Linked DNA regions of Struthio camelus. The protein of the gene in region 1 purifies or fractionates together with the protein of each later gene. This does not show direct contact. Links are inferred from orthologs where the notes say so. Each region holds a gene or a part of one and is shown on either strand. Other genes may lie near its edges.

What was found.
Region 2: the proteins of TGFBR2 (region 1) and ENG purify together in Homo sapiens (affinity purification with western blotting; 3 studies listed by BioGRID). This does not show direct contact. The link is inferred for Struthio camelus from reciprocal best matches to the Homo sapiens genes TGFBR2 and ENG.

Annotation. Positions count from the first base shown.
Region 1 is NC_090943.1:46,973,774-46,981,093, forward strand, and holds the start of TGFBR2 (TGF-beta receptor type-2), read left to right. Parts: upstream 1-4,067; 5' UTR 4,068-4,096; intron 4,097-4,194; 5' UTR 4,195-4,367; coding exon 4,368-4,461; intron 4,462-7,320. UniProt on the Homo sapiens protein: Transmembrane serine/threonine kinase forming with the TGF-beta type I serine/threonine kinase receptor, TGFBR1, the non-promiscuous receptor for the TGF-beta cytokines TGFB1, TGFB2 and TGFB3.
Region 2 is NC_090961.1:7,687,623-7,695,500, reverse strand, and holds the start of ENG (endoglin), read left to right. Parts: upstream 1-4,619; coding exon 4,620-4,746; intron 4,747-7,878. Other genes in the region: AK1 (adenylate kinase isoenzyme 1), read left to right, coding at 579-614, 979-1,142, 1,387-1,503, 1,644-1,835, 2,133-2,198. UniProt on the Homo sapiens protein: Vascular endothelium glycoprotein that plays an important role in the regulation of angiogenesis. Required for normal structure and integrity of adult vasculature. Regulates the migration of vascular endothelial cells.

The DNA.
Region 1 (7,320 bases):
GTAGTTTAACATGAGTCTGTAGAGGACTATGTGTTCTTCTTCAGCAATAAATGGTGCACAAGACATTGCAGGCTTTTTATTAAGAATGCTGAAAGGCCAATACTCCGTGCCAAGCATCCTGAATTTGAAAATTAGAGGAGAGATGTCAGCTTCATGAACGGTGCACTGTAAAAAGCAGAAGTTTTGGTCTAAGAAGAATACAGGGTTTCAAAATTTGTCTTTGATTTGAACTGAAATATCAAGACTTCCCTGAAAATAAACCTCTTCCTTCACTTCAGTGAAATCAGGATGTTGTATGTTGCTCTTTTTTGTTTGTTTTTATGTGTAAAATGAGGAAACAACAAAAATTCAAAACTAATTGGCTGCATCTCAACAAAAAAAGATCTGTTTCATTCCAAAAATGTCCAAACGGGATGTGTCAACTTTGTCAAAAAGATTTACCAATTTTCTTTTGAAGGTAATTGTCACCAAGTTTATTTATAGTCATAAATGTTTTGGTTTTGGTCAAACTGCTTATGCCAGTTGTGTAATTGATAGTTCTGTAAAAGCGGTATAAGCATACGATATTCCTCATTGCCTCATTTCATTCCAAACAAAAAACACAGGCAGAAATCCCAATGTTTGCCAGTCAGTAAAGCATCCTGTAGCTTATGTTATACAACTTGTACAGTTCAAAGAACATTTTCATTAGGAGTCATCTCATCTAAGATCAGCTGCCCAAAAACTAGGTGTCTGGGCCAATTATGCTATCGTTAGCTCAGGTCTCTAGAGGTTTCTAAAACAGCTAGAATCCTCTCCATCCGTTGATGATGGAGGGAATTTAGCAGACCGAATAGCTTGCTGCCCCTGTAAAGGGCAATCCTGCTCATCCAGCTGTTGTCCTCTATCCTTTGGTCCCTGAACTTGATCTGGGACTAACTCACTATGCAGTTGAATAAATGCGATTGCTTCTTTTCATAGCAGGAAAGCTGTTAGGCTTTCTGTTGTCTCAGGTGTCTCCTGGAACCTCACTCTGAGGCTAACTTTTGGAGAGCTACAGTTAAGTGAGATGTTTTCACCGCAAGCCACACATGTCAGCTTCATACAGGCATAAACACTATCCTGTGCTGGTGCAGCTGTTTAGGCCTTCTCTAATTCTGAGTCAGTGGATCTCAGAAACAGCTTGTTGAGGGATTCTTAAACTAAGAAACACCAGACCTAATAAACTAATCAAAGTAATGGCTTTACTGGGCAATCCAGTGGCTTGTGAGTAGAATGACTTTGAGCTAAAGGTGGATGTTACATACAGTGAAACTGCAGTTGTAATAAGAACGCAAGTTTTGTGGAGGCTTGAAAGGGTTCTTCATATGAGAATAATGCTGTAGAATTATGGAATCATGGAATTTTGACAGAAATATGACATTGCAAGCTGAGAAATAGTTGGGTTAGGAAAGAGAGAAACCATTTGCTTTCACTAGTTTTTATGAATTGTTATAAAAAGTGGTACCTAAAACTGCAGCAAGAAGCACTTGTGTTATCTTTCACTAGAAGGCTCTGAGGTGCGAGAGGTATTAGCTTGTTTGTGTTCTGGGTATCTCTTTAGATCATTTTTGAGGCTCAGAAAGAAAACAAAGAATACTCAGTATTTCAGTATTTAGCTTTTCTAAGTAGCAAACTGAAATTAGCTGGCCCTTCCTTACTCAGTCAGGCTGGAGTTAATTATTTAGTTCCAATCTGCGGCTCTTCAAGGCTGGCTCTTTCTCACCTTAGGCTGAGGTTAACTATTCACAGTTTCAATCTAGAAGTAATAAACTGCAGTCTGCAAAGAGGGAACTGGGAATTATGAATAAGGAAATGGAAAGATATGACCAGCTTAGCCTTGTTTTATATATTCTTGGTTGTCCAGGAAATCCTGATTAAACTAAATTTGGGCCTTAACATGGAAGCTTATAGTACTCAAAAAGGCAGGACATGAGCTTTGTTAATAAGCCTGTCTACAACAAATCTATGAACCAAACTGAAGTTTACTTCCACTTCCGTGTGGACTTTCTGTGACTGAATTATTTCTCCACTGAGGATATCCAGGTAAGATATATTCCTCCATCCACCCAGAAAACGTCCTAATATGAAGTTATTCTTAGTCATACTTCCTAGTATGACATATTGTGAAAACAAAAGCAATGTTTACATGGAAAAATTAGACTTCTGAAGTCCACATATGGTAGACTCCCTGCTTATTGGGTTATCTAACGAGCAGTATCACGGAACGTGATGGAGAAGAGCCGCGATGCCAGGCTGCAGTCAGAGATGTGAGACGGTTGGGGCCCTGAGCGCTCAGGACTGAGGCGTCCCCAAAGCCCCTCTCCTCTACTGGTCCGAAGGTCGCAGTGCGCAGGAAGAGCCACGGCACTCACGTCAGGGGGAGAGATCAGGTGCCACAGCAGTGGAAAGTGAGGCAGAGGCCAGCTCACTGAATCATACCTGAATTTTGACAGGTTTGAATACTAACGTTAAATCTATATTTAATGGCTTTTTAGCTTCCTTACATGTTGGAAGTTAGTCAGGCAAAACTAACAGGAGAGCTCAAGCAGCATACACAGCCAAGTTTCTAAGCAAACAGCGGCTCTTGACAGCTACATTGTTACAACAAATGTTGATGGGGGTTGAGAAATGCTTTCACATAATAAATTACTAAAAACAGAATTTCTAGCATAGCGTGGATGCTCAGGAACTGGTAAGAACACTCCAGGTCTGTACTCAAAGGTGAATCTGACATTTCTTACCTCCTCTGGAAGGTGGCATCTTTGTTTGAATGAATCTTGAGTGCATTTAAAAGGAGGGAAGGAAAATGCTCTTGGAGAGGTTTATGGGAATGTGCACAATAAACTAGGGCTGCACTGTGAAAACATGCATTTAGGGAGTTTTTAAAAATAAATTTACATAAAATCACAATGAGATTTTTTATGCCTGTTACAGGCCAATTAAAAGCATTATGTAAACACTTCCAAATTCATACAGAGTTGATGTGGGACATTCAGAGTATGATTATGCATATTCCCCGTGAGGGCTTAGCCTTGTTTCTGAAATACCCAAATCTGTACCTCTAATTCGTGCTGTAATCAAGACAAAAGTGAATCACCACAATTTGAGCAGGCATTCTCAAATTATCCCCATGTGCAGCAGTTTACTTTTCAATCAATGCCCAGCCATTTAACTCGGAGAGGAGGGAAGACTGAACCAGAAATGGCTCTCAAGGCAATTCCTGGCTATGCAGTGGCTGGACTTATACAGGCAGAAGGCACAGGCCTTATTCAGTGTAAACCTGCTGAGGATCTAGTGGTTCAGTCACCTCTGTCTGGGTCATGCATAACTGACATCACTGGTATGGTCCCACTCCCTGAATGCTCTGTGCAATTTTTCCTTTCTGAAGAAATCTCTGGCAAAAGCTGAGGCTGCTTTAGAGAGGAAGGGAGATGAACTTCATCTGTGTCACACGTGCAGGGCTTGGGAGCAAATGGTGTGCATCCAGCCCATTTGGGAGCAAAATGCAAAAAAGAGGCAGGTGGTGAGTTGTCACAGTCTGCTTCAGCATCTGCAAGCCGAGTGCCCAGCTCGTCAGTGTGAACATTTCCTGTTATTACCCTGATTTCAACCTGCCTTACCCCCTGCTTTAGTTCATCAGGGGGTTACGTCTCCTCTTTCAGATGCCGGTCCGGCAGAGCGCGAAACAGGCCGCAGCAGCACCGCCAAGGGCAGGGCTACGGCTGCAAAGCCCCCACGCTCCAAGGCCACGACTGGGCCCTCGTCCGCTCGTGGGGACACGGGAGCAGCGGAGCTCGCCGTTTCCCGGCGTTTCCCAGCCTCCGCGCTGCCGGTGCCGCCCCTCGGGGCCCGGCGGGGCGCGCCGGGGGCGCCGCGCTCCCGCCGGGGGAGGCAGCTCCGGGCGCCCGGCAGCACGTCGGGGCTGGCCCGGCGCGCTCGGGGTGGGAGAGCCAGACCTGCGAGGGGTTGGCCTCTGGCAGATGATTGACACCAAACTGGGTGAGGTTTCATGTTTAAAAAAAAAAGGAAAAAAAAAAAAAGGAAAGAAAGAAAAGGAGCGAGCGCAGAGGAGGGGGTGAGCGTGGAAGGGGGGAGAAGGAACTCCTGTAAGAGTACGAAAGAAAGTCCTGCCCAGCTGTTTGCGAAGTTTAAGATTTCCTGTTTCCCTTGCAGCGCCGAAGTGAAGTTTTTAGTGAGTCACGCGCGGTCCCGAGCAGCAAAAGCAGCGCAGCCCGCGCCGCCGTGCCAGCCCCGCCGGCGGCCTCTCCCGCTGCCCGGGCGCCCGCCGCTCCGCGCCGCTCCGCGCCCCGCCTCGGCCTCGCTCTCTATGCGGCTGCGGCTCGGCGATGCCTGCCGCTCTGCCGAGGAGCCTGCGGCGGCTGCTGCTGCGCGTCTCCGTGTGGCTCCTAATGGGCAGCTCGGTCCCCGCTCTGCTTCGGGGTAAGTGCGCGCCGCTGCCCCGGCCCCCGGTGCAGCCTGCGGAGCGTTTTCACTTGACAGTTGCTCGGCCGCAGGCGGGAGCGGTGGCAAGGGAGGGGGAGGATTTGGTTGCTAAGAAAGTTTTGAAGCTGGTAACAAAACGCGGGGGGGGGCGGGTAGGGAGGACACGCGTGTTTATTTATTGCCCTGCTGGGGAGTTACCGGGGGGAAAAAGGGCTGGGGAACTTGAGTGGGGGGGGGGGGGACTCACAGTAGACAGTGAGGTCCGTCGGCAGAGGGAAGCGAGGGAGAAAAAGAGAGAATTTGGCAGGAAATGCAACAGGGTCTCATGTGGCCGGAGGAGCCGGAGAGGGCAGCCCGGGAGCTGCCTGCTGTGCCGGGCCGGGCCGGGCCGGGCCGGGCCGGGCGGAGAGGTTGCCGGGCCCTGCAGCTGCTGCAGCTTCCGCACCTGGGGGCGGCGGGGGCGGCCGGTCCGCACCTCCCGCCGCCGCGGGGCACGGCTCCGGCGCCGCTGCTGGCGGCCCTGCCCGCCCACACCGGGCAGAGAGCGCCGTGGGTGCTGCGTGGCCCGAGCCTGTGCGTGCCGTCCTTCGGGGCGGTGGGCCCGCGCCCGGCCGCAGAGCTGGCTGCCGAGGCGATCAGCGGTTACTTACCAAAAAGTTATTTGACTCTGTGGGAGTTTCTGCGGCATTGCCTGCAGCAGGATTAAGGCATGGTTTGTGAGCAGTTGCACTGGGAACGGCAGTCATTCTTGTAGCGCTCGATGTCTTAAAGTGCTCATGTTGTTTAATTCACTTTTACTGATGCTTTACGTCCCTTATTCTGGCTGTTTTTATCCAGACATCTGTAGAGAGATGTTTTGAGGCTGTGGCTCGTATTACTCTTCACAGAGTAATTTGGAATGCACGGAGAGGTTGAAGTGCCCCTGTGAAAACAGGGCCCCTACCCTGAGGAGCTTCTGGTCCCAGTCTTACCAGTGCTAACCCACGCGTGTGAACTAACATCTCTATCTGCGAGGTTAGGCCCTAAATCGCGTTGCAGCTCCATTGGCGAAGTTAAAAAGAGAACATCCTATCGCAGCAAAACTGTATCTGAAACAGTTTTGCGGTATTAAGCAGATCTCTGAGGTGCCTTGTTATATTGAATGTCTGGTTTTAGTCTTTAGGTAAGAGGAACAGGCACCTGAGCTTTTCCAAGCTGTGCTTGGTGCTCCAGTTCTCCCCTGTGGTCCATTCAATAACGGTCTCAAAACTGTTGCTGAAAAATAACAACATAAACTGGATAGCTCTCGCATAGCCACTGCAAATAGCTGTGTACATGACTAACTTAATGCTTCGTTAATAACCCAGTCAAAGTCAACAGGCCTTACATACCTGTAAAGTTACTCACGTAAGTTTAAGGCACATGAAAAAACAGTTAAACAGTTTAAGAATAAGGGTCTGTAGTGTCCTAGGGCACAATATCTTATTATTATTTTAAATTTGAGGCATGCAGCTTCTTGTTGATTTTGGTATATATTTATGATTAATATAAACCATACCCAGCTAGTGATGGCTTTTATTTTGATCCTGGCCTAAAAAATATTACTGTAGATTCCTATTACACAAAGCTTTAACGGAATTAAACTGAAAAGCTCCAGTTTTATAAAGCTGCTGTTCTGTTATTATTGCTTATGCTTTTTTGCTCAACCAGTATAGACAGTTTCAAACTACAGATAAACTTTTTAATGGGCCTATCTTAAGAAATTTTTTGATGTCTTCTTTCTTGTCATAGAGCCAGTGAGGAAAAAAATAGAGATTTCCTTCCAGTTCAGCGTATTTCATGCTGATCTTCATCTGCACTCTACAGTAACCAAAATTGGGTTGACCTGTTGTCAGATAATTGATCATATTCAAAATTCCATTTTTGTAATTACTGCAGGACTAAGCGTGTAACGAGGTAGCACTGGTCAGAAAACAACAATTCTGTGGGGGCAGCAAGTGTGAGGTTTGGATGTTGGTTTTTAGTAGTCATCAGAATGAAAACTAGAAACTTTGTTTGGGAAAACCAAACAAAGCCCAAGAAGAGCTACTCTCTTTGGAATAATCAATAGCTCTGCAGTTGGGAGAGGATGAGGCGGGACGGATAACAGCCTCAGGAGAGCTTGCTTCCCAGGTGTGTGTACTGACTACCTGCTGTTGTTGGTGAGGGGGGCTAACAGAACCTCGGCTAAAATTTCATCTTAACATTCTTCCTAGCAAAATACTGGTCAAGAACAGCACGTTTACACAAAAATTCTGGAGAAAGCCAGGAATTCATGAGCGGGTCCAATAGCAAGTATTTCCTTTGAAAAAGATGCTCAAATATCCTGTTCTAGACACAAGTAGTTGAAGTTATTTCCATGGACTAAAGGGACAAGTTGTGTTTTTTGAATGATTGTGACTGCTACACTGATAAATGGCAGTGCAAATTAGCAGTCGCCTGCATAAGAAATGAACGCTGCTTTGTCCAAGTGAAATTGGAATCTGTAGTTTATATTTGGAGTATTAAAAACTTAAATTTGTGCTTTGGAATAATCTGTGTAATGATTCCTCATTTCTGAATATCTGGAACTTAATTTCTTCATTCAGCCAGCCTCTACTTTATCTCCTCTTTTTTTTTTTTTAAATGCCATATTACTGTCAGTTGGTTTTATAGTAACAAAATAAAATTGAATTAAGAGCTTCAGATAGTTGCAAGAAGGAAATACGAGAACAAACATCTTCATAATGTGGTGGAACATATTTGTAACACGCTCGGATCTAAAATGCAGTCCTGCCCCTTGATAAAGCTCTGGCAAATTTCCAGTTATTTCATGACAGAAGAAAGAACGGGACTGAG
Region 2 (7,878 bases), on another chromosome or scaffold:
GTGGGCTGCTCTGGCAGTGGGATGCTGTGCCAGTGGGGTGCTCCAGCAGCAGGGGCAGGGCTGTTAGTGCTCCCCATCCCGTCCCCATCCACGTATGCGCCACCAGGCCCGCAGGCCAATTTTTAGGACACTCAGGGATCAGGGAGGCGCTGGAGGCAGCGTGCCAGCTCGTGCCGTGCCGTGCCGAGCCGAGCGGGCCGCAGCCCCGGGCAGGGCGGCCTCGGAAAGCCCTTGGCACGAAGCCGCCACCGGCAACCATCTCCAGGGCACCGCGCGCCCCGGCGCCGGCGGGATTCCACCTCGGCTCGGCCGCCGGGAGCGCCGCCGGGGCCGGGGCCGCAGGCCGGGTGCCATGGGGGCCGCGTGCTCGTGCTTGGGCAGCTCGGCTGCTCAGGCTGGCCGAGGTGACGGGGACGAGAGGGGCGCGCGGGTGCTTCCCGCCGCGCTTTCTCCCACGGCGGGTTGGGGCCGGCCCCACCATGCCGGGGGGCGCCTGCCGGGGGGTTCAGCAGCTCACTCGCCGCCGTCCAGGCTTCTGCTTGGCTGAGTCTGGTTTTTTCTATTTTCTTTTCCCCCAGAAAAACTCAAGCATCACAAAATCATCTTCGTGGTGGGTAAGTAAGTCGGCCGCTGCGGGGAGCGAGGCCGACTGCAGAGCCCCATTCTCCCGCGCCTCGCCGGGGCAATTTCGGGGCCCAGGGGAGCAGCCGGCTTTGCAGGACGTGCTTGAAAATTTGGGACCTGTAGAAACCACCGGCTGCCTCCGGGGCAGCTGCAGCACTCCCAGCTCGGCTCCTCGGGGTGACAGCGGCTGGGACGCCATGGGGTGGGGACACTCCGGGTGCCAGTGTGGGGCTTGGGGACCTCATCTCACTGGCTGCCAGATGCTCCCTGTGGGTCTGCAGTGCTTTTTGGGCCCCCCCCCCAGCTCTTTCCCCCTGGGCTGGGATGTGAACGGGGCCCTGCTGTGACTTGCAGGCGGCCCCGGCTCAGGGAAGGGGACCCAGTGCGAGAAGATCGTGCAGAAGTATGGATACACCCACCTCTCCACCGGAGACCTGCTGCGCGCTGAGGTCAGCTCCGGCTCCGAGCGGGGCAAGAAGCTGAAGGCCATCATGGAGAAAGGCGAGCTGGTGCCCCTGGTGAGCCTGCGCGCCGGAGGAGCCCGCCGGGACACCCCGAACCGCAGGGGCGGGCACTGGTGGTGGGAGTGCTGGTCAGGGGGGACCGTGGTGATGCCGGTGATGGTCAGCATGTGTCCAGGGGAGGCCTTGGTCCCCCGCCACCCCAGAGCCCTGGGCTAGCAGCCGGGATCAGGGGGTGCCGGGTGATGGGGAGCGGATACATCACCCCCTCACCTCTTGTCCCCTCCTCCCCGGCTCCCAGGAGACGGTGCTGGACATGCTGCGGGACGCCATGGTGGCCAAAGCGGATGTGTCCAAGGGCTTCCTGATCGACGGCTACCCCCGCGAGGTGAAGCAAGGACAGGAGTTCGAGAAGAAGGTGAGGGGCTGGGGACGGGCCCTGCTTGCGGAGACACCACCGCAGACCCGCGCGGAGGGAGATGCAGGACAGGCTGGGGACATCCATGCCCACATCCCAGCCGCCTCCCCTGGTGACAGCTGCGTCCTCCCCGCCCGTAGATCGCCGCCCCGACGCTGCTGCTCTACGTGGACGCGGGGAAGGAGACGATGGTCAAGCGGTTGCTGAAGCGGGGCGAGACCAGCGGCCGGGTGGATGACAATGAGGAGACCATCAAGAAGCGCCTGGAGACGTACTACAAGGCCACGGAACCCGTCATCGCCTTCTACAAGAGCAGGGGCATCGTCCGCCAGGTGAGCGGGGCCCGGGGTGCCGTGGCGGGGACGGGACCCCTCGTCACCCCACAGCTGGGCTCCCCACCTCCTTTAGGTGGTCCCCCACTGCCATGTGCCCCTTGACCAGGGCCAGCAGCATCCCGGCGCCAAGACATCCTTCGGGAGATGTCCGTGCCGCCCCGTTGCCTTAACTATGCCCTAGCTGTCCCTAAGCTGAAATGTGTCCCCAAAAGAGCCACCTCCTCCGTGGGAGGCTCCCGGGGGGCCGGGCGCCGAGGCGTCCCCGAGCCTGACACTGCTGTCCCGCTCGCGCAGCTCAACGCCGAGGGCACCGTGGAGGAGGTTTTCCAGCAGGTCTGCTCCCACCTGGACGCCCTGTAGGCGAGCCCCGGGGCCAGGCTCGCCGCGCCGGCCCGGCCCGCCGCCCCACACGCGCACGCACTCCGGCTCCGCGGCAGAGACAGCGGAAGCGGCTTTATCCTGTTTTCGTGGACAGAGCCGCGCGGAGGAAATTTCAAGGACATTGTGTTTGGCTCTTTCCCGTCTCTCCCCAGTAAAGTTCACTTTAATGAGCCCAGACTTTATCTTTTTTCTTCTGCCGCAGGAAATGAGTTTTTCTTTCCAGAAATTTTTTTATCCCCCCCCCTTCCCTCCGCACACCCCTTTCTGAGGCTGATTAAGGGCAGGAAACGGGCTGTTTATCCCGCCCGGTGGCATCGCGGCCGGGGGGAGCGGGATGCTGCGCTCGGAGGAAGGGAGGGGAGCATCCCGGCTGCATCGGCCGAGCCCCGGGGCTGCGGGGGGCCCGCGGCCGCCTCCTTGCAGCCAAACCCCCTCGCCGAGACCCGTCCCGCTGCCGGGGCTGAGGGAGCCAGGTTCAGGCCAATGCCACGGGCTGTGGCCGGGCGTCCCGGGTGCCCCAGCGTGTGCCAGCCCCCCCTCCACCCCGCTGCTCCCGGGGACGGGGACGGGGATTTCCACCACTTTCAACACTGCTGGCTCCAGCCCGCGCCTCGGCCTCGACACTCCCTTGCATCGTGCTGTCGGGAGCTTTTTAGGGGAACCGGGGCTGTGCTCTGGGTGCCCTGACCCACGGAGAGAGTTCGGGGGGGGCCGACGTGGGAGACGGAGGGGGCGTTTCGGTCGCGGGCTGTCGGCCGCATCAGGGTGCAATGCCGGTGGCGCGGCTGCAGCAGGGCTCCGGGGCCAGGGGGTTTGCCCGGATGCTCTGCCGGCAGGCGGTTTTCCCGGACGCGGCGCGGGGCTGCTGCCTGCCAGGTTACGGCGAGGGCAGGAGGCGGCAGAGCCGTGACCTCGGCCTGCCCCTGGCACCGCTCGCTTTCGGGCTGCTGTAAATCAGGCGACGAGCAAAGCGAAGGTCAGGAGAAAGGAGGCTGTTTGGAGGCAGCCGAAGCTGCTGAGACGGTGTCGAGGAAGGAAACGAGTGGGGGGGCAAAAAAAAATAAAAGTCATAAAGTTAAAAACGAGCCCCGTCAGGCTCGTACAGCGGCCGGGGGGGCGAAGGAGCCTGGCTCGAAACGGGGACGGCCACAGGGCCACCACGAGCAAGGGGGTTTGAGGGGGGGCCCACCGCAGGCTGGGCCATGGGGAGCGACCCCTCTCCCTTGCGCCTCCATCCCGTTTTTGTGGCCTCGGGCCAGGCGCGAGCGTGCCTCAGTTTCCCAAGTGAGCGAGCGGGGATGGAGCTGCCGGGCGCTGGGGCCGGGAGAGGGGGCAGCAGGCACCCCGGCCCCAGCAGCCTTCGGCTGGTCACCGGCCCCGGCTGAGCACCCGTCCCCGCGGTCCCCAGGAGATGGCAGTGCTCTGTCACGGGAGACATCTGCCTGCTCACCTCACCGTCGGGGACACGTCCCAGGGGACATCCCGCCAGGCCGGGACAGGCCTTGCCGTCCATCTCCCAGAGGGGCGGCTGGGGATGGAGCGAAGCAGGGGCTGCACCGGGTCCCTCGTCGGGGGGCAGCTCCGGAGGGGCTCAAGCCTGGCTGCCCAGCACCGTCCCCCTCCTCGCCAGGCGCATGGGGAGTGGGGTGGTGACAGTCCCCATCCTGCCCGAGCCCCCAGGCCGGCCCTGAGCTGCATGTGGGGCTGCATTTTGGGGGGGGGGGGGGGGAGCATCCTGCCAGGCAGGTGGGTGCCCCTGCCCGTCTGCAGAGCCGGCCGCGCTCGGAGGTCCCCGGGGGGGTCTCGCCGGGTGCCCCGGGGTCCTCGCAGCCGCTCAGCGCTGCCCCGCACCAGCACCCGCAAGTATGGGGAAACTGAGGCACGGCGCTTGGGCCCCCCCCCGGCTGGGGTTGGGGGGAGGGGGGTCCCATCGGGCAACACACCCCCTCCCACCCCAAAATCCATAGGAGACAGCCAGCGCATCCGGCGGGGCAGCACCCCCGGGGGCAGCGCAGCCCTCGGCTGCCCGCCGGCCCTCCCCGACCTCCCGGCAAGGCTCCAGGCCGCTGCGAAGCGGCATTTCCTCCCCGCTCTTGGCAGGCGCTCGGCTCGGCGGACCCTCCTCTAAAGGGAGTTGATTTCCTGCCGCCGCAGGTCATCAGCCCGAGCGCGGCGCCGGGCTCGCACACTCGGGCGCTGCCGCGGCTTCCCCGGCGCGGCCCGGCCCCACCGCCGGCCCCGGCCCGCCACCGCCGCCACCGGGCGCCGTCGAGGCTGGAGCGGCGAAAGCTGCCCGGCTGCCTCCGCCTGCGCCTCCCCGGCCCGCCGCCGAGCCCCGCCGGCCAGCCCTCGGCCCCTCCGGACACGGGCTAAGGGCAGCGCAGCGCCCGGGCAGGCAGCATGGGCGCCCCGAGGCGCCGCGTCGCCCCGCTGCCGCCGCCGCCGCCGCTGCCGCCGCCGCCGCTGCTGCCGCTGCTGCCGCCGCTGCTGCTGCTGCTGCTGCTGCGCTGCGCGCCCGGCCGCGCCGGTGAGTGCTGCCGCGGGCCGGGCCGGGGTGCTGCCGCCCGCCGTCGCCTGCCCCAGTGTGTCCTCGGGAACCCCCCACCCCGCTTCCCTGGGGTGCTGCCGCCGGGGTGGCTTGGCTGGGGGCGCTCCCGGCCAACCCCCCCATGCCCCCTCGCACCCCCCCCGCCGCCACCGGGCCGATTCGGCCCATACCCCCCCACCCCACCCCACCCCACCCCACCCCGCGGTGGGTGCGAGGTCGCGGGCGAGCAGGGCCTCCGCGAGGTCCCGGCGTTTCGGGGACTGCTCGGGAAATCTGTGCCGCCGAGAGCCGGAGTCGCGCGGCGGAAACGGCGCTGTACCACGCCGGGAATAGGAGGGAGGCAGGCAGAAAGCGGCCAGCGCGGTGCCCCCCGGCCCCCCCGGCCCCCTGTCCCCACCGCAGGGCCGCGGCGAAACGGGGAATGGCAACCCGGGAAGCCGCCCTCGCCGCTCCGCCTCGCCGGCGAACGGCGACGCTCGGGCCACGTCCCAGCTGCGTTTCGTCACGCTAGGAAAAATAAACCCCGCTCCGGCTGCAAATTCGTGCTGGCCCTGCCGCGGGGGAGCTGCCGGCCCCGGGAGACCCGGGAGGGGAGACGGCGCCCAGGCGCGGGCTGCGTCGGCGGGCGTCGAGGTGCCGCCGCCGCCGCAGCCGCCTCGCCGAGCGCGGAGGCACCGGGGCGCCTTCGTGACCTGCCCGGCACCGCAAGGCGGGCGCCGAAAGCGGGAGCCGAGGGAGGAGGAGTGATCTGGAAACCCCCGTGGTTGCAGGCGGCCGTAGGGCTGGGGGCTTTTCCGCCCTCTTAGCAAGCGGCTGGGGCAGAGCCAAAGCCCCCCGCGGTGCGCCCCGGTCCCACGACCCCGGTGGCGGCGCGGGGCGGGGGACGGGGTGGCAGTGCCCCCGCCGGCGGGCAGGGAGTGCGGGGCCGGCGGTGGGAAGGGAGCAGCAGCCGGGGCCGGCGGGAGCAGCGTCCCCGGCACGGCGAGCTCCCTCGGGGGGCCGGGCGCCGGGCTGGGGTCGGGCCCCGGCTGTGACATCCCCGCTGCCCTGCTCAGCCCGCTGTCCCTGCCGGCTGCAAGCCCCAGGAAGGGCCAATTGTCGGCCCATAGCAGGGCCATACGGCCCCTGTCCCACGTAGCTGTGCCGCACGGGCCCCACCATACGTAGCTGTGCCATGCAACCCCATCCTATGTAGTTCTGCTGTAAAGTCCTTGTCCTACGTGGCTGTGCCATATGGTCCCTGTCCTACCTAGCAGGGCCATACAGTCCTTGTCCTACGTAGCTGTGCCGTGTGGTCCCTGTCCTACATAGCTGGGCCATACGGTCCTTGTCGTACATAGCTGGGCCATACGGTCCTTGTCCTACGTATCTGTGCCGTGTAGTCCCTGTCCTACATAGCTGGGCCATACAGTCCTTGTCCTACGTAGCTGTGCCGTGTGGTCCCTGTCCTATGTAGCTGTGCTGTGTGGTCCCTGTCCTACATAGCTGGGCCATACGGTCCCTGTCCTATGTATCTGTGCCATATGATCCTTGTCCTACGTAGCTGGGCCATGCAGTTCCTGTCCTACGTAGCTGGGCTGTGTGGTCCTTGTCCTATGTAGCTGGGCCATACAGTCCTTGTCCTATGTAGCTGGGCCATGCAGTCCCTGTCCTACGTAGCTGGGCCATGCAGTCCCTGTCCTACGTAGCTGGGCCATGCAGTCCCTGTCCTATGTAGCTGGGCCATGTGGTCCCTGTCCTATGTAGCTGTGCTGTGTGGTCCCTGTCCTACGTAGCAGGGCCATACAGTCCTTGTCCTACGTAGCTGGGCCATACGGTCCCTGTCCTACGTAGCTGTGCCGTGTGGTCCCTGTCCTATGTAGCTGTGCTCATGGTCACTGTCCTATGTAGCTGGGCCATACGGTCCTTGTCCTATGTAGCTGTGCCATATGGTCCCTGTCCTACGTAGCTGGGCCATACGATCCTTGTCCTACGTAGCTGTGCCATATGGTCCCTGTCGTACATAGCTGGGCCATATGGTCCTTGTCCTACGTAGCTGTGCCGTGTGGTCCCTGTCCTACATAGCTGGGCCATACAGTCCCTGTCCTATGTAGCTGGGCCGTACGGTCCTTGTCCTATGTAGCTGTTCCGTATGGTCCCTGTCCTATGTAGCTGGGCCGTACGGTCCTTGTCCTATGTAGCTGTTCCGTATGGTCCCTGTCCTATGTAGCTGGGCCGTACGGTCCTTGTCCTATGTAGCTGTTCCGTATGGTCCCTGTCCTATGTAGCTGGGCCGTACGGTCCTTGTCCTATGTAGCTGTTCCGTATGGTCCCTGTCCTACGTAGCTGGGCCATACAGTCCTTGTCCTACATAGCTGGGCCATACGGTCCTTGTCCTATGTAGCTGTGCCGTGTGGTCCCTGTGCTATGTAGCTGTGCCATATGGTCTCTGTCCTACGTAGCTGGGCCATGCAGTCCCTGTCCTACATAGTGGGGCCATATGGTCCTTGTCCTATGTAGCTGTGCCGTGTGGTCCCTGTGCTATGTAGCTGTGCCATATGGTCTCTGTCCTACGTAGCTGGGCCATGCAGTCCCTGTCCTACATAGTGGGGCCATATGGTCCTTGTCCTACGTAGCTGTGCCGTGTGGTCCCTGTCCTATGTAGCTGCGCTGTGCGGTCACTGTCCTAGGTAGCTGGGCCATGCAGTCCCTGTAGTCCCTATGTAGTCGTGCCCCATCCTACATAGCTGTGCCTACTGACCCTGTCCTACGTAGCTTTGCCATATGGGCCCTGTCCTATGTGGCTGTGCCATGCAGTCCCTATCCTATGCAGCTGGGCCATACAAGTGCCTATGCTACATAACAGAGCCATACAGGCTCTGTCCTGCATAGCTGTGCCATATGGTCCCTCTCGAATGTAGCCGTGCCATGCCGTCCCTGTCCATATGACCCCATGCTACACAGCTGCACCACACAGTCCCCATGTTATGTGACCGTGCCACGTGGCACAGAGCTGTGCCATGTGCAGCCTGGCTGTTGCCTTTGCCCATCTCCCCCCACCAGGAAGCCTCAGCGCTGGGGAGCCCCAGCCGGGGAATTTGGCAGTAGGCGGCGGGTTTCGGGCAGCCCGCC